Linked DNA regions of Alligator mississippiensis. The protein of the gene in region 1 interacts with the protein of each later gene in a pairwise test. Links are inferred from orthologs where the notes say so. Each region holds a gene or a part of one and is shown in the gene's direction. Other genes may lie near its edges. The genes, in order: zinc finger and BTB domain-containing protein 8A-like and KIF9.

The links.
Region 2: the proteins of zinc finger and BTB domain-containing protein 8A-like (region 1) and KIF9 interact in binary tests that used the Homo sapiens proteins (3 or more experiments, as listed by UniProt). The two-hybrid records come from large-scale screens. The link is inferred for Alligator mississippiensis from reciprocal best matches to the Homo sapiens genes ZBTB8A and KIF9.

What each region holds. Positions count from the first base shown.
Region 1 is NC_081829.1:5,428,637-5,440,573, reverse strand, and holds the start of zinc finger and BTB domain-containing protein 8A-like, read left to right. Parts: upstream 1-6,963; 5' UTR 6,964-7,198; intron 7,199-7,734; exon of another isoform or gene 7,735-7,974; intron 7,975-8,449; 5' UTR 8,450-8,477; coding exon 8,478-9,414; intron 9,415-9,927; coding exon 9,928-10,097; intron 10,098-11,937. UniProt on the Homo sapiens protein: May be involved in transcriptional regulation.
Region 2 is NC_081828.1:216,967,442-216,979,905, reverse strand, and holds the start of KIF9 (kinesin-like protein KIF9), read left to right. Parts: upstream 1-6,749; 5' UTR 6,750-6,854; intron 6,855-11,361; 5' UTR 11,362-11,458; intron 11,459-12,464. Other genes in the region: KLHL18 (kelch-like protein 18), read right to left, coding at 6,414-6,554. UniProt on the Homo sapiens protein: Essential for normal male fertility and for progressive motility of spermatozoa.

The sequences.
Region 1 (11,937 bases):
CAGATACATTATACAGATTATTTTTGACCTTTTACCGTAGGGTCAAATTTTGCAGTGTTTTATTAAATAAAAACATTAATTGGGGTAAATTTGACTCTTGGCTAATGACTCTGACACAGAATTTAACCCAGGGTGTGTGATTAGCCTGTAACTCATATTTCAGAAACATAAAATATTTGGGATGTTTGTGAAACTTATGTTAAGTATTAAGTGCACACAAAGTGATTTTTTCTTTGTCTGCCATCCACACAAAAAGTGGCAGGCTTGGGTTGGCAAGTAATACTTTTGTACTTTAGAGTAACTGTTCAGTTGTTTTGTCTGTATGTTCTAGTCAGGGATCTCACGAGACTGGGCATGCCTACAAGACGCTTAAGGCCCAGTAGACGAATTCTATTGTGCATTCATGTGTCATGGCAAAAGCCGTGCTAATGTGCAGTAGAATTAGTCTACTGTACATTAAGCAGCACAAAAAAGACTGTGCACTGGTGCTACTCACAGTATTAGAAGTACTAAACTTAATGCGCAATAACAATGTCGCATTAATGAACGTGTAGACGTGCCCACTGTGTACCCATTCTTGAATCTGAGTTCCCTTCTCCCTTCCCAAAGACATGAAAAAGAGAAGTAGGACAAGTTGTTATTCAGTTTCTTTGCCTGCAAAAACCCTTACAACTATGGACCCTGTTAAACCAGGGAAGGGTTGGTTGCAGAATATATCTTGAAAACTCTTCTAAAAAAATGTGATTAGTGTAAGTAAAAGCTTTTTCTTTTTTGAATGGTTATCTACATATCCTGCTCTTGGTGACTCCCAGTAACTTCATGCTAGAAAACAGCCAAGTGGAATCATACCCAAACAATGCATGAAGAACCACTTTGCTTAAGCAAATGTAACCATCCAAGCATGAATGGATGGAATGAACTCCAAGAGGTAGCTCTAGGAATTTCAGCTAAAGAAAGCCACCTATCTACTAGATTAAGACTTAATCTGAACAGGGGAATACAATTTAGCTATTCAACAGCGTGGTCTCATACACTAAAATCTATCTGGGAAGAAATTACCTTTCCTTTCACTCTTCTACTATAGACTAACTAATATATTTAAAAAAACTTCAAATAGTTTGGTCTCCAGAGGATACTATTTTTATTTAAAAAATTGTAATTTTCTTTCAGAATCCCTATAATAAGGTTTGGAGATGATGGGCAAGTAAATTAATGGTCTGATTAGTATTAAAATATTAAATTACTTTAGGCAAGAACTTGGAAAGTCCTTATCTTTAAGAAAAATGGTATAAGAAGGACCTACCATTAAAGCTTGAATTTTTCCCATGCTAGGAGCTGAAGTAATTATCAGTATTTTTTCCCAAATAGAGAACTTGTTGAATTCACTAATACTGTATTAAGATCCTATGAGAAAATGAGCTCTCTAACTGTAAAGAATAAATTCACTAAACCTTTTGAATACTCCTAGATAATATAAAGTGTGAAAATACTCCATGATTTTGAATGTATGGGTGACAGGCAAGCTGTAGCTAAGAGAGCTATGAAGCTAACAGGAAGTCTAGTTGATTTTAGCAAGAGCAGGCAACTTAAAATGTGTGGAACATCCATTGGAAAAGGTGAAACATGATGCTGTTGAGCCCAAATGGTAAATTTTTTCCATTTAACATCATAAGTAGACCTTTCAGAGTCTTTCCTACTATTAATCAAAATATTCTAGACATCCCTGAAGCAAAACTTCTCTCACATCAGTTAAGCACTAAGCATTAAAGCTGAAGGGAAGAGAAATGTTGGATCTGGATGAACTGTCTTTTATCTTAAGAAATTAAAATTGAAATGAAAGGCATTACTATAGCATATATTGACAATCTTCACCTGTCTGGGAACCAAAATTGCCTGGGCCAAGCGATTCTTAAATAATTAGTGGAAATAATATCATTGCAGCGTCCCCTTACGTCTGGTTAAAATATGTGGTGTTGTGGGGATCAATGGGTAAAAGTACATCAAACCTTAAAACCATTGAGTTAGGAAAGATATTTGATAGACACCTATGAATGGCTCCTTTTGAACAAAAGATGTTTAATTTTTGTTCTCTTCTGGACCTGGCTGATGCTGCTTCTGAAAACTTGCTGAAAAAAGTCATTCTTTATAGACCATTTGTGCTTGCAGTCTGCTCAGCCAATAATGTCTGTGTAGCCAATCTGCAAGGTTGTTCGTTAGTTCTGCTATATAGCGCAGTGACAGATACTTCACATTTGATGCACCACTCCCACAGCTGTATTGCTTCCTGACTTAGAGGAGATGATTTGGCTCCTCCTTGTCTGCTTATATAACACACAGCAGTAGCGTTCTGTCATCACCTGTATTGACTTGTCTTGGATTAAATGTAAGAATGCTAGGCATACTAGATGAACAGCTCTGAATTCCAAAATATGTGCACAGATGAGATTCTTCATCTGATTACAAACCCTGAGTTTAACTATTATCTCAGGGTGCTCCTCAGTTTTGACCACCAAAGTTAATAATGCGAAGAAGTGCAAATAAGACATTCTTGCAAGGATTTTTCCATCCGTGAAGAAAGCACACATCTAAAAATCCTCACTGGGATGGAGTTGGAGTGTAAATAAGCTTCAGCCAGCCTTGCACAGATCAAATCTTGCATGAGTAATGAATGTGCATGAAACCATACTCATAACTCTCAGCCATGTTCTTGCTGTGTGAGGGTTGTCCTGCAATGAGTTATAGCGTATGTCATGATCACAAATCTGTGTCAAGGTAGATATGCTATGATGGAATTCAGAAGAGTTCCTGTAAGATTTCTCGTGATGGACTCAACAGAGGTGTCTTTTTGTTTATTCTGAGCCCCACATTGGCAAACTGTTGGCAAATATAACAAAGAAACTTGTTGAGAAGCCATACCCAGAATCATCCTATCACTGAGGAAAGGTAAACTCCAGTGTCCTGTTGTGAAGGACACCACAACAACTGCTACATGTTTCACAAACACCTTTGGGACTGTTCATGAGTTTAATGGAAGAACTCTTTATCAAACATGTTTTGTATTGCCACTACAAAATCTCCTATGAACTTCTTGGACTGAAATCCATGATGTGGATGTGCATCTTGAAGTTCAAGAGGTGTGAACCAATTTTGTAAATCTGGGGAATGGATTACTCAGGATAGGGATGGCATTCCTAAACTTGTGGTGTCAACTGAATGTACTTTAATCTAAATCCAAAGCAGTTCTTCATCTTCTTTCTCTTTGAAGACTGAGGTAGAGAATGATGAAAGCTCTTTCTCCTGAATTATATGGCTGTGGGAAACAACAGAATGATAACTTCTTGTGGTAGGATCTTTGTGTGATGGGTCCCTGAAAAGGGATGGGGAAAGCAAATGTTTAGGGAAGAAGCAGATTGGAACTGAATAGAACAGTGAGTCCAGATGACATTGTTTCAATCTTCCAAAAATATGATAGTCTGAAAGGAATAAGAAACAAACAACAACAAAAAATCCATGGTGGTTGACCTGGAACAGCTCTTAACAGAACCATCTAACCTGATATCTGCTGGATGGCAATGGCTGCACAGTGGTGGTTCTGGCTGTTGCAGATAGCTACAGCCTTTGTGTTTCAGATGGCCTGGCATGCTCAATAGAAGATTATGAGGGTTGCCTTGATTGAGATCGACTATACCATTCTTTTCATCTGAGGAGGCTGCAAACCCAACAAGTTAAAATGTCATGAGATGTTAAGAATATGTAATGTGTCATAGATGACAATCCTCTCATATTCCACATGACATTCAAAATAATACTGAATATTTCCCCTGTAAAGGGGGAGCGCTATTTAACTCAGAAACAAAAATGAATCTCTCATTTTTATAGCAGCTACTGCCACAGAACATGCTAAAATGAGATTCTTGAAATGAACGGCCTCTCATTTTTGTAGTACTTTGTCCAGGAATGCCAAAACCTTATGTCACAGGAGGAGTCCTATTTGGAAAGAAGAACTTTTAATTGTCAAGATCCTCATTTGGAATCTGACTGTAGTTATTTACTCTCCTTCTTTGCAGTGAGAAATGGAGCTTTATTTAGTAGACTACAAGTGGAAAAGCAGGTACAGGGTGCACATAAAAGAATTAAAATGCTGAGAACTGGATTAGTATCTCCTCAAAGCAACAGATACAGTGGGTGTTGTTTCTTACAGTCTCTCTTTCTTACAAGAGAGAATTCTAAAACAATTTAGTTAACTGGCATTTCTTTTCTCTCTGGCAGAGAAATATATAATATCTGTAGAAGCTTATAATTCCCCCCCCCCACAACTTTCAGCAGAGATTCTAGTGTTCTCAGAAAACAACTTTAAAAAACTCCTGAACTGTTCTGTCATCATTTCAGAAGCATTTGTTTACAAAGATGCTACTACAATTTCTTTGGGTGACAATGACAATAATGCAGCAGGAGGAAGTCAAGTTTATGAAGACTGTGCTTCCTTACAGTGTGAACCTGTTGTTGAACAGTAGGAATGGGGGGTTGCTATCCTGCCTGAGATCTGGTAAACTCAAGTAAACAGTCAACCTTCCTCTGGAGGGTATAGAGGACATAGGCAGTTCTCAATATTAAGGGTTTCCTCGAGCGCAGTAGAGCCACAAGCATGGAGTACAGGCTAATGGTAGGTAGCCAAGGCAGGAAATAGCAATCTGAGTGTCATCCTCTATGGTTTCTCTGCATGTTTATAATAAACCTGAGGTCTAATATCCTTACTCAGTATGAAAGTGTGGGGATTATGAAGAACAGCCCTTTAAGCCAATTTAACAGGAGCCAATGGAGAAAGGAATGGAGAAATGTATTCCAAATCTTCAATAGTTAAGAAGCTGTTTTTACCTATGGAGGGATGCTACTTGTGCTACAACTCTGAACCCTGGCAAGTGTGATGACACTAAGTTCTCCTGTTCCTGTACAGTTTGGTGCTCAAGTGGTCAAACCCGAAGACAGAAACTCAGAGGGTTTTTATCCTGAATGATGTGGTACTGACACTGTAGGTGCATCTACGTGTGCAAAGAATGTAACATGATAAATTCTGGCACAGCATGCTGGAGAAAACTGCTCCTGGGCACAGCATCTGTATGTGTTCCAGGGTCTGCAGCACTTTGAGCTGTGGCAGAGCAACCCTTGGCTGGCAAGAGGCCCGGGGGGGAGGGGGTAGTCAGCTCTGGGCTCCAGGAGGTGGCAGTGTTGGGGATAGCTGGGGCACAAGGGTGCTAAAGAGTGGAGCTAGGTGGCAGGCAGCCCCCTGCACTTTAGCACCCTCATGCCCCAGCCAGCCCTTGTCACTGTCTACATGTACACTTCAGTGCATGTAATTACTCCACTGAAGGATAGGACTTCCCCCAACAATACCAGACTATGGCAGAGTTAATTCATTTACTGTGCCCTAATACCGGAGCATGTGTAGACTGTGACACTTTACTGCAGAGCTAATTAGTCGACTCCACAGTAAAGTGCATGTGTAGATGCACCCTGTAAAAGTACAGGCAGTCCTCGGACTTACAACACAATTGGTTCCTGAAAACGTTGCCTTTAGTTGAAACATTGTAACTTGGAACCAATTTTCCCATAGGAAACAATGTTACAAATTGGGGATTGGTTCCTGAACCAAGGCCTGATTCCCTATTTCACCAAAAATAACTCAGAATGTTGTACTCAATCAATTATAGATGAGTAATATAGCTACATTAATGTATTTCTAGTATAAATAGCAATCATATTGATTTGGAAGGACTTCTTTGAGGTGACTTTGCTGGACTTGTTGAAGGGCTCTTGGTTGGACTTTTTGAAGGGTTTTTGGCTGGAGTCTGCTCAGGAGTCTTGGCTGCAGGTTTTTCTGGAGTCTTGTCTGCTTTCTTAAAGGCGGTGTCCAAGGAAGTTTGGACAGATGTTCTCCAGGGAGATGGGTGGCAGAGCAAATTTGTTTGCTGGCGTGGCGTGGTGTCAGATCAAGCCTTGTAAAGTCGAAACTGAGGTCAGAAAGTTGAAACAGTGTCAATTTATAAATGTTGTAAGTGTGAAATGTTGTAACTTGACTGCCTGTAACTAAAGTCAGTACTAAGACATACTGCTTTAGGCTATCCAAAGGACTTTGAGCTACCTTTAGCAGAAACAGGAGGAGGGCTGTGCTTTCCTCCAAGGCTTTCTGAGGAAGTGACTACTTATTTGATCCCCTCTGGAAAAAGTAAAAAAGTATGCACAGATAATCATGCAAAGAATTGCAAGTTGTGCTTTGTTAAACAAAGAAACACCACATTCTGTGGACTCAGTATTCAGTAATTGTACATTTGTGCACTATGATCCTGCTTTCCCATAAAACATGAACCAAATTCTAGTTCTTTTACTCAAAGCTGGAGCTTTCATTTCATGTCCACGGAACTTCAAAATAATAGAGAAAAACTATTATTTTCTCATCTGTGTGTAAGGTATGGAAGTGGGATGGCATAACCATTGTTAGGTTACAGGTTGGGATGAAAAATAAGAAACTGAATATCCCTCGTCCTTGCAAGATACAGGCAGGATGATGGTTCCTCGGAGAACAAACTGCTGAGAAAAAAAATGGCGCATCAAAGCCCTATTAAGGGCCATGATGGGAACAGAAGTAGAACATGAGACAACAGAACTTAAACGGGAGAAGATGAGGGGGTTAGAAAGAAGACTCTGAGGCACTATGGCTTATTTAGGGAGAAAAAAGAATACGAAGAAAGACAGGAGTAGTAAATCCCATCTGAGGAACCTATGGACGGATGAAAGAAGGATCTGGGTCATTAAGGCCCCCGTTACACAAAAAGGTGTGGAAATAGGCATCTAGGGCGTCGCGTTCCCTCGTGGGGAGCATGTGGGCGTGGGAAGAGGAAAGCAGCCGGGCTGCGGGCGAGCTCCGGCGGAGGAAGCTGCTGGGCTGCGCCTGCAATCGGTGCGTTGCCCCTTTAATTGTGTCCCCAGCCCTCGGGCGTCTCTGTCCAACGCCCACGTCAGCAAATACCTTTTGTTTCTCTCCCGCTCGGGCTTCCGCGGCTTGGGGCTGCGGGACGGGCCGTGAAGGCGACGGCGAGCCCGAGCGGGGCCTGGGATCCGCACGCGCGTCCCGCTGCCCCCCCCGGCCGAGCGGCGACCGGCGAGCCAGCGAGCGAGCGGCGCAGCCCGCCGAAGCCGAGCGGTGAGTGGCGGCTCCGCAGCCCGCCGCCAGGCCGGACTGGGCGCGGGGCTGGCGCGGCGCTGGGGCGGCCCCGGGGCGCCAGGGGCTGGCGGCGGGGCTGGGCGCTGCCCGCCGACGCCCCGAGCCGGCGCTGCGCGGAGACGAGCATCAGCCCAGCCCGAGCGGCGCGGAGCGGAGCGGAGCGGACGGGAGCGGAGCGGGCGCCATTTGCAGCCCCGGGCGCGGCTGCAAGGAGCCGGGAGGAGGCAACAAAGGGCTGAGCGGAGCGGGTCCGGGCGGCGGGAGGGAGCGAGCGAGCGAGCGAGGGAAGGAGGGAGGCGGGCCGGGCCGGGCTGGGCTGCGCGGGGCACTGGGGAGCCGCACAATGGGGCCCCGCGCTGCAGCCTGGGGCGGGCGGGCGCTGCCGGGCTCGTGTCCCGAGGCGCCCGGGGGCCGCCCTGCAGCCCGTGTCGGGCTCCGTGCCCGGCGATGGCGATGGCGGGCGGGGGCGGAGGCGATGGCGGGAGGGCGGGCGGGCGGCGCGGGGGCTGCGGCTGGGAGCGAGCGGCTGCTCGGCGCTGTCGGCGGGCGTGTCTAGCGCCGTCGGGCGTCCCTGGCTCCCGGGGCTGCAGGGCCGCTCCGGACTGGGCGTGCGGGTGAGTGACGGCGGCCTCCGCCAATGGCGCGGGGAGGGGGCGGCCCCGCTGCCGCTCGGGCTCCTGCCGCTGTCTCCTTCCCTGGTCGCTCCTCGGTCCCTCTGAAGATGTGTGCGCCCATGGCTGGACCAAGGCAGCCAGGTAACGTTAGCTCGCAACACAGGCTCTTGCTCCATGGTGTCCATAACTGCTGCGGGCCTGGTTCCTCCTCCGTGCTGAGTTTCAAGGGCGGTGTAGAGTCGGCACCGAGTCCTTTGGGCTTTTAGACAGGGACTGGGCGGTGTTGTGGTAGCAGGGAGGGGGCCCTGATGGTGCAGCACACACGTGCTGGGGGGCGACATCTTTTATTGGATAACTGTGTGGTTAGTATAGACACGGGAGAGCTTTCTGCAGTACCTTAAGTTGGGCTAAGATGTAGTATTTACTGACATGTTTCTTCCTCTTCTACCGCTACACTGTTGCAAGTTGTCTCTTCCTTTCAAAACAGATGGTATATGCTGTGTCCCATGTATATTTTTTTTTTAAAGGACCTTAGTTTTTGAACCTGGGTTTAGCAGCTTTTGTTTCCGTCTACAACAGTGTCCAAGTCAAGATTGTTGTTGTTCTCTGTTTTTAGAGCCGCACTTCCCATTTATCGCTTTGGGATGGAGATTTCTTCCCACCAGTTTCATCTCCTGGAGCAACTCAATGAGCAACGCAGGCAAGACCTGTTCTGCGACTGCAATATCCTGGTTGAGGGGAAGGTTTTCAAAGCACATCGAAATGTGCTGTTTGCCAGTAGCGGCTATTTCAAGATGCTCCTTTCCCAGAGCTCAAAGGAGACTAGTCAGCCAACAACTGCTACCTTCCAGGCATTTTCTCCTGACACTTTTACCGTTATTCTAGATTTTGTTTATTCAGGCAAACTGTCTCTCACTGGTCAAAATGTCATTGAAGTCATGTCAGCTGCCAGCTATCTTCAGATGACTGATGTTATTAGTGTTTGTAAGACATTCATTAAGTCATCATTGGACATCAGTGAGAAAGAGAAGGATCGCTATTTCAGCCTGTCAGACAAAGATGTAAATTCAAATGGTGTGGAGCGCTCCTGCTTGTATGGTGCTGGCTGGAGGGCGGAAAGCAGCCCCCCTCATTCTCACCTAAGTCCAGAGCAAGGGTCTTGTATGATGGGTGGAAATACATGGAGCAGTTTCACCTACTATCCATCTTCTCGAAGTACACAGCAGCAACTGGCCAAACATGACCAAAGGCAGGATTCCATTAAAAAGCCCAGACACCTAGGACTGCAACAGTCTTCTGACATTCCCCACTATAAATCGAGTAAGCTCGAAGACCGAGCTTCAGAGCCTACAAGCCACATGTCTCCATCTGAAGAGCAAGTTCAAATTGAAGCAGAAGTTGAATCTCCCCATGTTGGGTACCAGTATGGTCAAGGATCTGATGTGCTGCCAAGGAGTTTAGCTGTGTCGCAGCAAGAGCATGAATCGCCCCGTTCTTCTAGCAAGTCAAAGTCTTCAAAAGCAGACGAGCAATATGCCAACATACCCTCAATTTTAGGTGTAATGGGAGGCTGGGCTGATGGTACGAATTAGCTATTTGTATCTCTCTCTTCTATTTCTACCAAAGTTTCAATGGAGAATTGATATAATACTCTGAACTAATGACTGGAAAATATGCCTAACTTTATATTTTTTATTATTTTTTTTTTTTAGGGATGGATAGATAGATAGATAGATAGATAGATAGATAGATTTCTATCTATTCAAAATACAGTAAGCTTCATCTTGGCAGTTCAGTCAATATTTTCAATTTTGAATCTTAGCAGTTTCAGCATAGGTGATGATCAGTTGCTTTTTCTTTTACTGAGCTCCTTTTAATTTAATGTGCAAGGACTCTGACATTCTGTGAAAGTGAAAAGATAGGCGATACTATTTCTTCTAAAGAAAAATGACTTGTAGCTCTGCTGGCTTTTTTGTTTTTCTTAATTTGCATAACTGTTACAGTAGAAATGTGTTTCTTTCTAGAATTGGTCACAATATTGTATATATGACTCTTTCAGATATATAAAATACTTTTTTTTTTTTTTTACAACAGATGACCTGCCCAGGATGAGATTCAAATGTCCATTCTGCACCCACGTGGTGAAGCGAAAAGCAGACCTAAAGCGGCATCTTCGTTGCCATACTGGAGAACGACCTTATCCATGTGAGGCATGTGGAAAAAGATTTAGCAGACTAGATCACCTAAGTAGCCATTTTCGAACAGTATGTATTTTAGACAATGAGTGCGTGATTTAATTTAATGTGTATATATCTGTATGTGTTAAAATAATTTAATTTGGTATGGGTGCCTGGTATTTTAAGTTTAGTCTGCTTTGTATGAATAGGGAGAAATTTCTTACTAGGAAGGTGGTGAAGCACTGGAACAGGTTACCCAGAGAGGTGGTGGGCTCTCCATCCTGGGAGGTTTTTAAGACCAATGTAGACAAAGTCTTGGCTGGGATGATCTAGTTGGGGCTGGTCCTGTTCTGAGCAGGGGATTGGACTAGATGTGACCTCCTGGGGTCCCTTCCAACCCTCATTTTCTATGATTCTGTGAATATACCAGTTTTCTTAAAGTTTACATGGAATAGTATTCTAAGTGGTTTAAAGATAAGGCAACTTGAAATGTAATACTTTTGAAAAGGAGTGAGTTCCACCCTTGTTTAAAGGATGCAGAAAGTCCAATATAGTATTTCAGATCTGGTATAAAGAACTTGTTGGCCCCTTTGTAGATGAGTGAATGTCCCTCAAATGAGTTAAAAATAATTTCTGGAACTTCTCTGGTGTCTACCAGTTTGCTGTGTCTTAAAAATCACTTTTTCCTCTTTCCTGCCACTGTGTGAAAGATCCATGCAAATAAGGAAACAAACTGACTAAACAATCTGACTGTACACAAAATACTGCCAGTGCATAAAGTAAAAGAAAAAATTAATATTTTTTCCATGTGTCAGTAGGTGGACTTGCAAGCAAGTTTAAGTTTTAATTTTGTCTAATTTTTAATACTTGTTTTAAAGAACAATTTCAGGAAGGAGGTAAAATAGATGGGAGTGGGGAGATGAGCAGGAGCACTGGAGAATGGAGAAGAGGTATGCCAACAGAGAAGTAGGAGAGGGTGGCTGGAGGATATAAAGCAGCTGCAGTTATGCCATGTGGCAGAGTGAAGGAGCCGCAGCTGCATGTGGTGACTTGTGAGCAAAATACAGATGGAGAAGCAAAGTGAGAGAAATAGCTATTAAAAAAATAGACTAGACAAGTAAGATTTTTCAGAGTGATACAGCATAGTGGAATCTATAATCTCTGGAAAATTTTACATTAGTTCTGACCTATAGTTTAAATGTTGTGTCATAATCAGAATTAACGCCATATATTTGTTTACTTGTTATGGTAGCTTTGTAGGCCTTTCTTGGGGCCTTATTTTTCATTTAGCAATTGTAACAACAGTATATTGAAAAGGCTTCAACAGTGTACAAAAACTTAGACTCTTAAAACTTTTCCATAGCTATCTGCTTATGTGCACATAAATACATAGGCCATTGGCAAATCGTAATAGTAGCACTGAAGACTAGGAAGAATGACCAGTTGCCCCCACTTCCACTCCCCCAGATTATCACTATGGTGTAAATGAGAGCAGTGATTCTCAACCAGGGTTCAGTGAGAACCTTTTAAGGGCGCCAAATTATATTAGTGTTATTAGGTATGCAAACACCCATGTGATTCATGAGATAACTGCAATAGGGTTTTTTTTTTTTAGTTCTTTGCAACAGAAAATTGCACTTTAAGGTGGATCCACAACTGGTTGGATCACTGTGTTCAACAAGTAGTCATCAATGACTCAATGTCTATTTGGAAAGAAGTATCAAGGTGGGTTTCCCAGGGGCTTGTCTTGGGAATTGTTCAACATCTTCACTAATGATCTGGACAGTGTCACTGAGTGCACTTTAGCAAATTTGCAGATAACATCAAGTTGTATGGATTTGCAGGTACTCTGGAAGGTAAGGGCAGGATTCAGAATGACCTGGATAAACTGAAGAAATGGTTTCTTCAGTCCTGCACTTGGAATGGA
Region 2 (12,464 bases), on another chromosome or scaffold:
AGCTGCAAAGAAGATTGTGCTCAGCAATGCAGAGATCTGCCTCTAGGAAGGCATGATTTCTTACAGTAAAGGCAAGCCCATAAAACCTGCTTTATACAGTTTCTACCCAGAAATGGGAAGGTCATGTGCACCAGAGATAAATCAAGTCTTGCTAGGTTTTATCCTAGGAAACAGCTCTGCATCTAACAAGGATTTAATCTTATCTGACCCAGCAGCTGATAACCACAGTATTGAAGAGTTTTGTCTGGGCTGCTGGGGTTACTAACCGTAACCGGCTTTTGCTCAGGTATGGGTTATTAAATGCACCTATATTGTTACCCCTGAACCAGTCAAGACTCTGAAGAGCACGGATAATTTAAAGGGTGTTCTTTGTCACGTGTCTCTAGACTGTAGTTCTCTGTGGGCAGGGCGCATGGCAATGGGTTTAGCAAAGCAGTTTTAGAACAAAGCTCAGGAAAAACCTCCTGGCTGCAAGAACAGCAGGACAATGAAACCAGCCGCGGGGCAAGGCTTAGGAACAGCAAATCCCACATCTGGGCAGGGGGTTGCACTTGATGACCCTAGAGATACCTTCTAGGCCATATAAGTCTATGATTAGATGCACAAAAAACTCTTCCTGTTACATTTCCAACTCAGCCAGGAACAGGGGCCCAGCCCAGAGGCATCAAACATACAGCCCACAGGCCTGCTGCAAAATTCACAGCCCCCTGAGCCTCACTGGACTTGGCTATTGGTGGCAGGATGGCAAGTAAGGGTTGGACTCTGCATATGAACCAGACGCTCACCACTGCACCAGACCCTGGCTTTCATCACCAGACCCACAACAGCTGCTGGCCCCCCGCAGATCTGGATCCAGCCGAGGGCCTGGGATGAGCTTGACACCCCTGATCCAGCTTAGCTGCAAAAGAGAAGGAGTTTAAACTGAGTGCTAATTCTTAAATACTAGACACACGAAGGCATAGGGTGCCAAGTGTATTTTTGCAATAGTCCAAAGCAAACCATCTGTTAGCTGGCAGTTGTAGCCTATTCTAGGATTTGGTCAGAAAAGCCTCTGGATACAAACTCAAAAAAATAGCTTCCTCTCCACATCCTTTGCAACTGCTTTATATATGGTGTCCCTCTGGCAGCAAGTCAACCGTGGTCAACATCGCCAGCGTTGGAGGAGAGAAACACAGGCCTGGCGTGCTGGAGAACTCATCCCAGGGTAACAAAAGTGGGCCTTAAGTTGTTGTACTGCTGCAAGTTTCCAAACATAGACAAGGCCACGCGAACTGCAGAGCGACCTAGACCGAGGACAGCGATGGGAGATGCTGGCAACTGGAAGAGATCTGGCTGTAGTAAACATAAAGCCCTATAGCCAAGAAAGGGAAATTAAACAGCACAGTCATGGACTGAGGAATGCATCCAAGCAGCCTCCGTTCATTTTCATTTATCTCCTTAAAGGCATCCTAATTTTTTTTCTTCATTTCAGCAAGTAATTCAGTTGTCCAAGGAAGTGGGGCTGGGAGAGGCAGTAAGTCTGCATTGGTTTTAAAAAGCAGTGCATAGTTTTTAACCAGTCAACGGCGTGATATAAGGAATGGCTTTTTTGAATCTGTATTCTCGGTAACCCCTAATTGTCGGTGCATAAACACAAGAGCCTCAGTTCTCAGTGGGTACACCCTAGCACTGCATGCTCATGCCAGACACCCAGCTCAGCTTCCGGCTTGGAAATTTTATTATCAGAGAGAGGTGATCGTGAGGAGCAGTGACGGACTTCCCTAAGCCTGGCTTAGAGTAATCGGAGATTTGACAGATCCAATCAAATCAGCACTTCTTTCTCTAATCACATCTAAAACAAGCTGCCATCTGCTGCTGAAACAGCACTCTGGTCCGGGGAGCGACTGGAACCGCAGATATGGTAAATCTCCAAAAGAAGAACAAACTGGAAGAAAATGCTGCAAACCTGACACAAAGCTGCCACTCTTATAAGGTGGTTTTCTTCTTTTTATGACTATTACTTAAACATTTCTATTTTCAGCTATGTAATTTTCCATTAAAGAACGAGGGGGTGGCAGATGCCCAGTTCACTTAATGCATTTATGTGGCCTGGATGGCAGATTCCGTTTCTTTCATTAAAATCCCGTTCCAGATGTCACGACAGCGAAGTTGCTCTTTCAAACACGAGCAAAGAATAAACGGATGCAGCGTGGCACAGCACTGCTTTCCTAACCCTGCTAATGGCCAAAAAGGACATCTGACAGCTGTAAAATCCTCGCCGCCTCTGCTCATCTCACGGAGATGTTCTCTGTTAATTTTTAGAGTTGCCTTAAGGGCTCCTCCAACTACGTAATCACTGGTGCTTTTAGAAGATGGGATGGAGAAAGCAGGCAGGAGTTAATTGAGGGAAGAGGAAAGAGAGAGAAGGAACAGCAGTCCCATACTTTTACTGATGACACAAGGATTTTTAACATTTAACATTTCCTACTGAGTGTTTTAAAATTCAAACCCTGGCCCACTGATGACAATAAAGATTAAATTCAACCTTAGCACAGGAGTTAAGATGCTCCTAAATGAATACTCATGCTTTAGGCTAACTACTCGGCATGTTAACCAAAGAGGTCCTCTTCCCTTTACATTCATTCAGCTTCTCTTTCTCCTTCATTTGATCATTTCCAGTGCTTCAAAGGGGGAAAAAACCAGAGACAAGAGTTGATGCTACTGAACAACGTTGGTCCTGCCTACACACGGGATCATTTACAGCTTTCAACCCCTAGCACCATTAAAACTCTGCTCATTATTAGAGAGGGGGCTATTATTGAACTGAACCCTGCTATAGCTCAGTAACCGTGCTCATTCCCATTTCTGGTGAAACACAGAGCAGCGCTTTAATCCTGGCAAGGCCAAGGGAGAGAAGCCAGGTCACCGAACACAAGGGTTTTCAGAGTACACATCGTCCCTTCGGACAGCCCGTATCGGAGAATCAACATGGCAACAAGCCTTTTCATCGTGAAACATGCACTAAGCCCCGCTGCCAACAGGGACCCCTCTGTTTGAAAAATGAGATTTAAACCATCCTATATTGTTCCTCCCGGGGTTTCGCTCGAGCTTTAGTCAAATACAACCTCTCCCAGGCAACCCACTTTGTAAGCCCTTTTTGGGGTTAAGGCATTTTAACATTTAAAACTTCATCAACACACACTGAGGGTGGCCCTCGACAAGGTCAAGGAAAAAGTCCATTTCTTAAATCAGCTGCTTAGTGAAGTGGCTGCTACACTGGCTGAAAAGACACTTCCAAAGTTAATCTGATAAAATTGACTTCCACAACACCTTGCAATGCATACTAAAGAGCCTGGAGAAGGCATCCTGTACTGAAGGAAAGAGGGGAAAAAAAGGCTTGGCTGGAGACCGTCAACAATGTCAGCTCAGCTGGCAAGGACTGTGCGAGCCAACGCTGAAAGAGGCAGCTGTCAGCAGGTGGAAGTGGCAGAGAAGGAGGACACTTCATGATCGTGATTAATTTATTCTCAGAGAAAAGAGTGCTACCGAGGGGAGCTGGGCTGATAAACAGTCTCCGGCCTCCCTGCTGAGCCCGGCACCACCATGAGACAAGCCCAACTCGCTTGCTCCAGCTGTGCGTGCAGACCTAGCAATTAGGCAGCACAGTCAGCCTGGGGGGTCCTGAATGCACACCCCAGCACCCGTCCCAGGCTCCCTCATGTCAGAGAGCGGGGAAGAGACAAGAACAGGGCTCATTTCCCAGCAGTGGTCTAAGACTCACCAGGGAGGCAATACAGACACGGGGGCCTTAGCCTCCTTAATCTACAGAACAGCTACTTCACAGGCCAAAGTACTTCAAACTCAGCCCCTCCTGCAGAAACATGCCTCAAAATTGATTTTTGAAAGGGCCATTCAGTCCTCTGCCAGCCAAAAGCCAAATGAGCTGGTAGATTTTTGTGATTTCTCTTCCTACAACACCATGCTTGCTGGAAACAACATGGATATCCCCCCTCAAAAATAACTGAGATGCTAAAAATGCTGCTGTTGTACAGAAGAACAAAGATCTCCCCGCCTGTCCTCCCGAGACGCAGATCTTGAAAACAGGGAGAGAGGCACCTCCCAGAAGAACCAACAACCAAAGCATTCACCCCTGACGTGGCAAACCTACACCCAAAGCTCGGGGCTACTTGAACCTGGGGCTGACATCCAGGCGACTGCCCTACCCGCTGGACTAGACCGACCACTCTGGCCTGTTTTGGCCTGACCAGAATTTCCATCCTACAAAATGCATCTCCAATCTAATGGAAAACGTTTCCAGGGAAAGTCTCCATTTCGACAAAGAAGTATTTTTCGGCGAAAACATGAATCATCCAATAGTTTCCAAACGTCTCTTTTTGGGGCAGTTTATTTGGAGGAACCGGGTCGTAGAAGTCACAGAGAAGTACGGCTGGGAGGAAACCGCTAGGGGTCATCTAGTCCAGCGTTTCTCAACCCAAAAGTGGATTGCAAGAATATATGAAAGGGTCGGGAACAAGCTTGGAAAAAAATGGATCAAACTTTAAAAAGATTATCCTTTAAAGGGAAAAGCCACGGTTTCCCATGTTTTTCTCCTTACAAGCTGGCAGAGCTGCAGGCTTGGGGCCCCCCATGCCCCACACACTGGAGGGCTGGGGCCTTGGGACAGCAGGGTGGGAGCGAGGGGCACTGGGTCGGCAGTGGCCAGCGAGGTTTACAAACGGCCCCTGGTAGAGAAAAGGTTGAGAACCGCTGATTTCTGAGGCAGGAAATACCTTGTGCCCCATACGGGGATCGAACTTGCAGCCTTGGCATTATTAGCGCCCCAGTCTGAGCTAATTGCCCGCCTGTTATGAAGTGCCGTGTCTGCGTGCCCACGGTCACCACCCAGACAAAACACACACTCTCTCAGGAAGATCCTGAGGGCAACTGAAATGAATCCTATTTGGTGCAGCTTGAATATCCCCATATACTCTTCATTTAAGGCTTGAATATTCCCATATAGTCTCCATTTACATACAAATCGCCCACAATACTTGGAGTGAAGAACACAAGGGCTATTTACACAACCCTTGTCTTACGCAGTGGGAAGTGGATGGATGAACTCCATTTGTGTCGCCCGAGGAACGTATCAGTGCTGAATTCGAGATGTGATTCGTACGACCGAGTGACCAGTCTGCACACCTTAAGCGTGAGAGCAGCACCATAGGTGTCCACCAAACGCCTGTGCCCATTAACTCCAGGTCTGTAATTACCAACTACAGAGACTCCCGCACCTCCTGCCGAGGCACCAGCTGCTCCCACAGGCATCATAATGGGATCACTTGCATGACACAGCACGGCAAGCCCTATCCAGGCTTTACAAACACTGGCTTATAGTCTCTTTAAGGCAGGGACTATAATGCTCTTAAAAGATAATGGGTTCCTACTCCTGTCTCTCCACATTAAGGTGAACGTCCAGAAGACGCGGTGCAAATCTCTGCCCTACCAACGGCAGGCCTACAGCAAGGAGGAGGCAGCAGCATGACTGCCCAGATCATCCAGGCCTCGGATGCTTCGCCGACAACATCGGCGCGTCAACGGCAGCTGCTGATTGTGTGACGTAAAAACGTCTGGGAGATGCGAACTCCTCGCGCAGCCTGCGAGGAACGCGACGAACGCTTCCAGCCCAGCAGCGACATCCTCCCTGTCCGAAGCCTGCCATAGCTCGGGCGTCGAACCGTCCACGCTGCGCTAGCCTGTCATCCGGTTCCTACGCCGCGGCCAGTATTTCTGCACCGTAACCACCAGCACGACACGCGCATGTACGCACACACACAACAGCTACCGAAACGCGCGCCTTTGCCACCGGCAAGTGCTGGGTCAAGCGGCTCCGGCTGGAGGGAGGGAGGACCACGCGGCCGAGGGCTGAAGACGTCCCTGGAGTCCGCGAGGCTCGTGCCTGGCGCCCGGGGGCTGGCAACGGGGCAAATGCTCAACCAGAGAAGGGCCGGGCCGGGTCATGTCACCCCCACCCTCGCTCTGCCTTGGCTGGGAGGGGCTCCAGGCAGCCGATGCCCTCGCCCTGGGCAGCTGGGGCTTGCGGCTGCAGCACCGCATGGGCCAGCCGCGCTCCCCACACCGCACCGCACCCTCCCCCACGTCCCAATGGCCCCCAGCCCCACTGCCCCTCCATCCCGCACCCCCCACCCAGCACACACCCCAGCACCCCTCCCCCGCCCGCCCCACTGCCCCTCCATCCTGCACCCCCACACCCAGCACACACCCCAGCACCCCTCTGCCCCTCCATCCCGCACCCCCCACCCAGCACACACCCCAGCACCCCTCCCCCGCCCGCCCCACTGCCCCTCCATCCCCCACCCAGCACACACCCCAGCACCCCTCCCCTACCTCATGGCCCCCACCCCTCCCCCCCGCACCTTGAGGGTGACGTCACAGAGCTTGCCCTGCCGCCGGATCTCGCCCATGACGCCGTAGCCGCGGCTGGGCAGGTCCCCGACCGAGAAGTGCACCAGGTCCTCGGCGTCCAGCTCGGCCTCGGCCGCCGCCGCCTCCAGCATCGTCCCGCGCCCGCCGGCCGGCAGCCGCCTCGTCTAGCCTCGCCCAGCCGCGCCGCGCTTCGCCTCGCCGCGCACTGTCCCCGCCCGGCCGCCGTAGCCGAGCGCCGCGACCCCGCCCCCTTGCGCTAGCGCCAGCGCCAGCGCCGGCCGGAAGGGGCCGGACCTCACTTCCGCGTTCCGACGAGTACTTCCGGTCCTGGGCGGAAGTAGCGGGAGCCATGGGAACGCTGTACACACCCCGCCCCTCCCCCCCGACCTGTCCCTGGCGGTCGCGGCGCGGAGGGAGCGACGGAGGAGCGGGTAACGCGCCCCCTGCCCCCCGTGTCACGTCATCACGACGTCACCCCCATTCCTCCCAGTTCACCCCATGCCAGGCGTCATCGTGACGTCATCCCCCATGCCCCCATTTCATCCCGTGCCACGCGTCATCACGACGTCATCCCTACACCCCATTTCACCCCATGCCGCACGTCACCATGACATCATTCCTGCGCCCCCTTTCACCCCATGCTACACATCATGACATCATCCCCACACACCCCCTTTCACCCCATGCCACATGTCATCATGATGTGATCCCTGCACCCTCTTTCACCCCATGCCAGACATCATGACATCCTCCCTGCACCCCCTTTCACCCTATGGCACACGTCAGCATGACGTTATCCCCGCACCCTGTTTTTACCCCCCATCGTGATGCCATAGATTCATAGATTCATAGATGTTAGGGTCGGAAGGGACCTCAATAGGTCATTGAGTCCAACCCCCTGCATAAGCAGGAAAGAGTGCTGGGTCTAGATGACCCCAGCTAGATACTCATCTAACCTCCTCTTGAAGACCCCCAGGGTAGGGGAGAGCACCACCTCCCTTGGGAGCCCGTTCCAGACCTTGGCCACTCGAACTGTGAAGAAGTTCTTCCTAATGTCCAATCTAAATCTGCTCTCTGCTAGCTTGTGGCCATTGTTTCTTGTAACCCCCGGGGGCGCCTTGGTGAATAAATCCTCACCAATTCCCTTCTGTGCCCCCGTGATGAACTTATAGGCAGCCACAAGGTCGCCTCTCAACCTTCTCTTGCGGAGGCTGAAAAGGTCCAGTTTCTCTAGTCTCTCCTCGTAGGGCTTGGCCTGCAAGCCCTTAACCATACGAGTGTTCCTTCTCTGGACCCTCTCCAGGTTATCCGCATCCCTCTTGAAGTGCGGCGCCCAGAATTGCACGCAGTACTCCAACTGCGGTCTGACCAGCGCCCGATAGAGGGGAAGTATCACCTCCCTGGACCTATTCGTCATGCATCTGCTGATGCACGATAAAGTGCCATTGGCTTTTCTGATGGCTTCGTCACACTGCCGGCTCATGTTCATCTTGGAGTCCACTAGGACTCTGAGACCCCTTTCCACCTCTGTGCCACCCAGCAGGTCATTTCCTAGGCTGTAGGTGTGCTGGACATTTTTCCTCCCTAGGTGCAGCACTTTGCATTTCTCCTTGTTGAACTGCATCCTGTTGTTTTCTGCCCACTTGTCCAGCCTATCCAGGTCTGCCTGCAGCTGTTCCCTGCCCTCCGGTGTGTCCACTTCTCCCCATAGCTTTGTGTCATCTGCAAACTTGGACAGAGTACATTTGTCATGTGACCTCATCCCCCTGCAAGGGGTCTCAAGGCTCCACAGGCCTCTGCTCCGGGGTGAGCCCCCGCCTGTGGCCTGGCCCTGCAGCCCCCTCGCCCCTGCTTTGCTGGGCCCCGGCGTGGTGGCGTCTCCCTGGTCGGGGCAGGAGCACTTCTGGGTTCCCGCGTATCTGGCCGTCTGCGCTCTCCCTGCTCGGCTTCGTCCGGACAGCGCCGACTCCCCCGGCCTTCTGCTCGGCTTCGGACGAACGCGGCGACCGTCACCCAGCCCAGCCACGGCATCTCCAACCTACTCCCGGAAACCTCTGAGGACGGGCACCAGGACCACCCTCGGAGTCAGGACGTTCCTGCTCATCTCCAGCTTCAGTTTCCCCTGCTGCAGCTTGAAGCCATTGCTCCTCATCCTGTCCCCTGCGGTCACAGAGAACAGCCTGTCTCCATCTTCTCTGTCTCTGTCTTCTCCGTTTCCATCAGACAGTTGAAGACTGTGATCAAATCCCGCCTCGGTCTAAATCCCACCCCTGGGTCCTCCAGCCTTTCCTCCTCAGTCTTGCCTCCCCGGCCCCCGCATCACTTTTATCACTGCTCATTGCTGCTCTCTCCATCCGTACTTCTCAGCCTCGCTCCCCTTCATCCCTACGTCCCAGGTATCCCGTGTTGTCTGCATCACTTCCACCCACAGGGCTGCGCTGCCACTCGTTTCTTTTTTCACATCCAACGCTGTCCCCATCTCATGTTGCTCACGGTGAAGATGGCAGCACTGTCCCTTTGGGAAACCTGCGCTTGCTCTGAACGTTGGAGTGGTTGGGACAGAAAAGCGATGCAAAAATGCCCGGATTCCTTCAAACTGCGGGATCAAAGCCATGGTTTTGATATCCTAATTTGGCAGACTGTAGTCTGAGAGGAGATATATTGAGTTTGAAAGCCAATAGGACATCTTTGACAAGTTTGCAGATAGCATTTGGGTGTGGTTGCAGATACTCTGAAGGGCAGGATCCAGAATGACTCAGTGGTCCACAATCAGTGAAATGAGGTTCAACAAAGTGTGTGCAAATATAGACAGGGGAATGACTGGCTCGGCTGCAGTGCTGCAGAGAAGGACATGGGAGTTACAGTGGACCATAAGCTGAGTATGAGCCAGCAGTGCTTTCTTATTGCTGAAAAAACCAACAGCATCCTGTGTTATATTAACAGGAGTGTCACCTGCAAGTCAAGGGAAGTGATTCCTCCACTCACTCACCTGGATGGCACGCTGTGTCCAGTTTTGGGCCCCACACTTCAAGGAGGATGTGGACAGGTTGGAAAGAGTCCAATGCAGGGTGACAACAATGATCAGGGGCCTGGACTTAGGAGGAAAGGATGTAAGAGCTCGGGTTATTTAGTCTGGAGAAGAGAAGACCAAGAAGGGATTTGATCGCAGTCTTCAAATACCTGAAGGGCGATTATAGAGAGGATGGAGATGGGCTTTCCTCTGTGACCGTAGGAGCAAAGGCCTCAAGCTGTAGCAGAGGAAATGTAGGTTTGAGATTGGAAAAAACTTTTTGATTATGAGGGATCAGGCACTGGAATAGGCTGCCTAGAAAAATTGTGGGATCTCCATCCTTGGAAATGTTCAGGAGGTTGCACAGCCCCTTGGCTGGGCTGGTTGAGTCAGAGACAATCCTTCCTTGAGCAGGGGCTGGGCTAGGAGACCTCATAAGGTCCCTCCCAGCCCGACTTCTTTATGATCCTGTCTGGGTGTCCAATCCCATTCTTCTCAGCCTGCTTGTCTCATGTTCGGCTTCCAGCAGAGTTGACCCAGCTCGCTGTCCCAAGGTAGATAAACTGAGCCATTTGCTGTGGGAAGGTCTCAAGCCACTCTGCTGCCTGCTCTACCTGGCCCTGAACTGTGCCGGTGTGTCAGGTTGGGTCAGATCAGTCCCGAGGCCGCTGCAACCATTGGGGCACCTTAGATGCTGTAACAACCCTCCTCCACTCTGCCCTGTGTTTGGCCAGCTTGGTGCCAACCTGTGCCCTGTCCAAATTGAGCTGTCGAGCCGAGATCCTCAACCAAGAACCCCCTTTCTCCCTGCTCTGCTGTGTGACATGTTGAGTTCCCCTCCGCGCAAGAGTCAGCTGTGTTTCGGTGCTGTGGCTGTATAGCTCCAATTACCAAAATCCTTAGTCTTTACTCAGAACTTACAGGAAAACTCACGTTGCTCTCCAGGCCCCAGCAAGGGCTGAGTAAGGATTTCAGGATTAGGCCTGTAGTTTGTAAATAGATTTGAGAGCAAAGATTTGCTGCAAGTGCAAACATTTGCCAGTATTCCACTGGTAGCATGATGATTATTACCTGTGATTTCTCTAGCCCCACCAGAGAAGCATGGCATTCACTCCGGTGAGAGCTACGGCTTCCTTGTCCCCTTTTATTGTTGGCTGTGTATTGTGAAGCTGGTTGTTTAGTGCTTGCTTCTTGTAGGGTGCTGGTGAGATGCTGTTGGTGAAGGGTGAAGGGAGACCTTGCTAATAATCTCATCTAGGCATTTCTTCCTGTTGCCTTAGTTGTTGGAGTAGCTAGGGGCGTTTCAGCTCACGTGCCTATTATACATGTAATTTTATGTTTAACGCTTCAATAAAAATAAGTAAACGCCTGTGTGGGGTTTAAGTTGTAGCCGTGTTGGTCTAAGGACATAGGCAGACAAGGTTCTTTGGGTAAATCTGATATCTTTTATTAGACCAACTCAAATAGCTGGAAAAATCCTCATGTGTAAATGTCTGTGATTCCCCCACAGATACCATCTGAAAAATCCACGGTTGGCTGGAGGTTTGGAGGCTGTGGGCTATGGGGCCTTTCGTTTCTAGGCTGCTCAGTAAAAACCTCTCTGAAGGAATCACTGTTCCTAACCCTGGGAGACTATTGGGTGTCTTGTATGGAACGACCTTGATGGATCTCAGTTCTGTGGTGCCCACGTCATAAAAACAGCGATGCAAATTGGCATCCCAGTCAGCAGTGACAGCAGAAAGGCCAAGGGCTGAGTGGGCCATAGAGGCTGAATGCCCCTTTCTTACAGCCGTGACTTTTCTCTCATGTGACAATGGTGAAGAACCACGAAAGGACTCTCTTTCTTCTAACAATGAATAATGAACTTTATTACAATAATGAAAATAGCACTTGCTCCAAAGCTTTTCTCTCTCTCTCTTTCTTTTTAGAGCTTGCACTTGGAACTGTCCCGTCACCCTACTTCTGCCGGGATTCTTGCTGCAGCTGAAGAAACAGAGCACATGTGTTTATAACCTTCAGGTTCAGGTAGAAGCCCATTGACAAGATACTGTGAAAAGTTACAGATCTGCTCTCTGAACTGTCCCTTTTCTTCGGATAAAGAAAGCGCTTCATGCTCCGGGGCTGTCACTCTTTCACTAGCATTCAATCTGTGTTTAAATACTAATATACAAACAGTAGTCATGAGCGTGTTTCATCTTCTGCAGGTGGCCTCACAAGCCACTCTCTGTGTTAGCTGGTGAGTATCATTAGTCTGGTGGCATGGTGAGAATCTTCCAGTCTAAGAAGTATATTGAAAAAGAAATTTCCTCGTATGAAATGGATATACCTCTTTGCCCTCAGGGGTGTTTGTTAAGCTGTTCAGACATAAGTACTTTAAGACCCTCAGGTGAAAGGTACTTTTTCATTTTTATGGTAAGTCATCATGAGATAGTAGACTATCTACATACTCTGTATCTGTGCACTTAGTATTCATTTAAAGGCAAATAACAGGGATAGTGAAGCAGCTAAAGTAGTGAAAGGAACGGAGAGGCTTGCTCTGCTTGGGGCACGGGTGATATCTTCCCCTGTTGTAACCCTGCCTCAGGTTATTTGTCCTCAGGTGAGCAGTAAGCAAATGACTGTCCTGAAAAGTTGATACTGGAATGTCCAAACATAACAGAAGTAATTCATCCCTGTGCTGTTGGGGTTTTGCACAGTCTGTGCCCCTGTGCAGAGCCTCTAGTGCAGGGGTGAGCCAACATTTGGGCCAGAGGGCCACTGGGGGGGTTTTGGTGAGCTGCCACGGGCCAGGCCAGCACTCCCTGTCCCTTGGCCCTGCAACAGCTCACCAAAATTTCGTACGTGGCTCTGCCTCAGGACCCAGCCCCATGCTGTCACCACCCAGTGATCCCAGGGGCTCCTTGGAGATCACCCAAAGTCCTGAGCTAGACCAGGAGTTTGCCCAGGAACTGGCTGAGGCAGCTTGCTCCAGGACCATGGTTGTCATGGGTGACTTCAATTACCCGGACATCTCGTGGGAGGATCGCTCAGC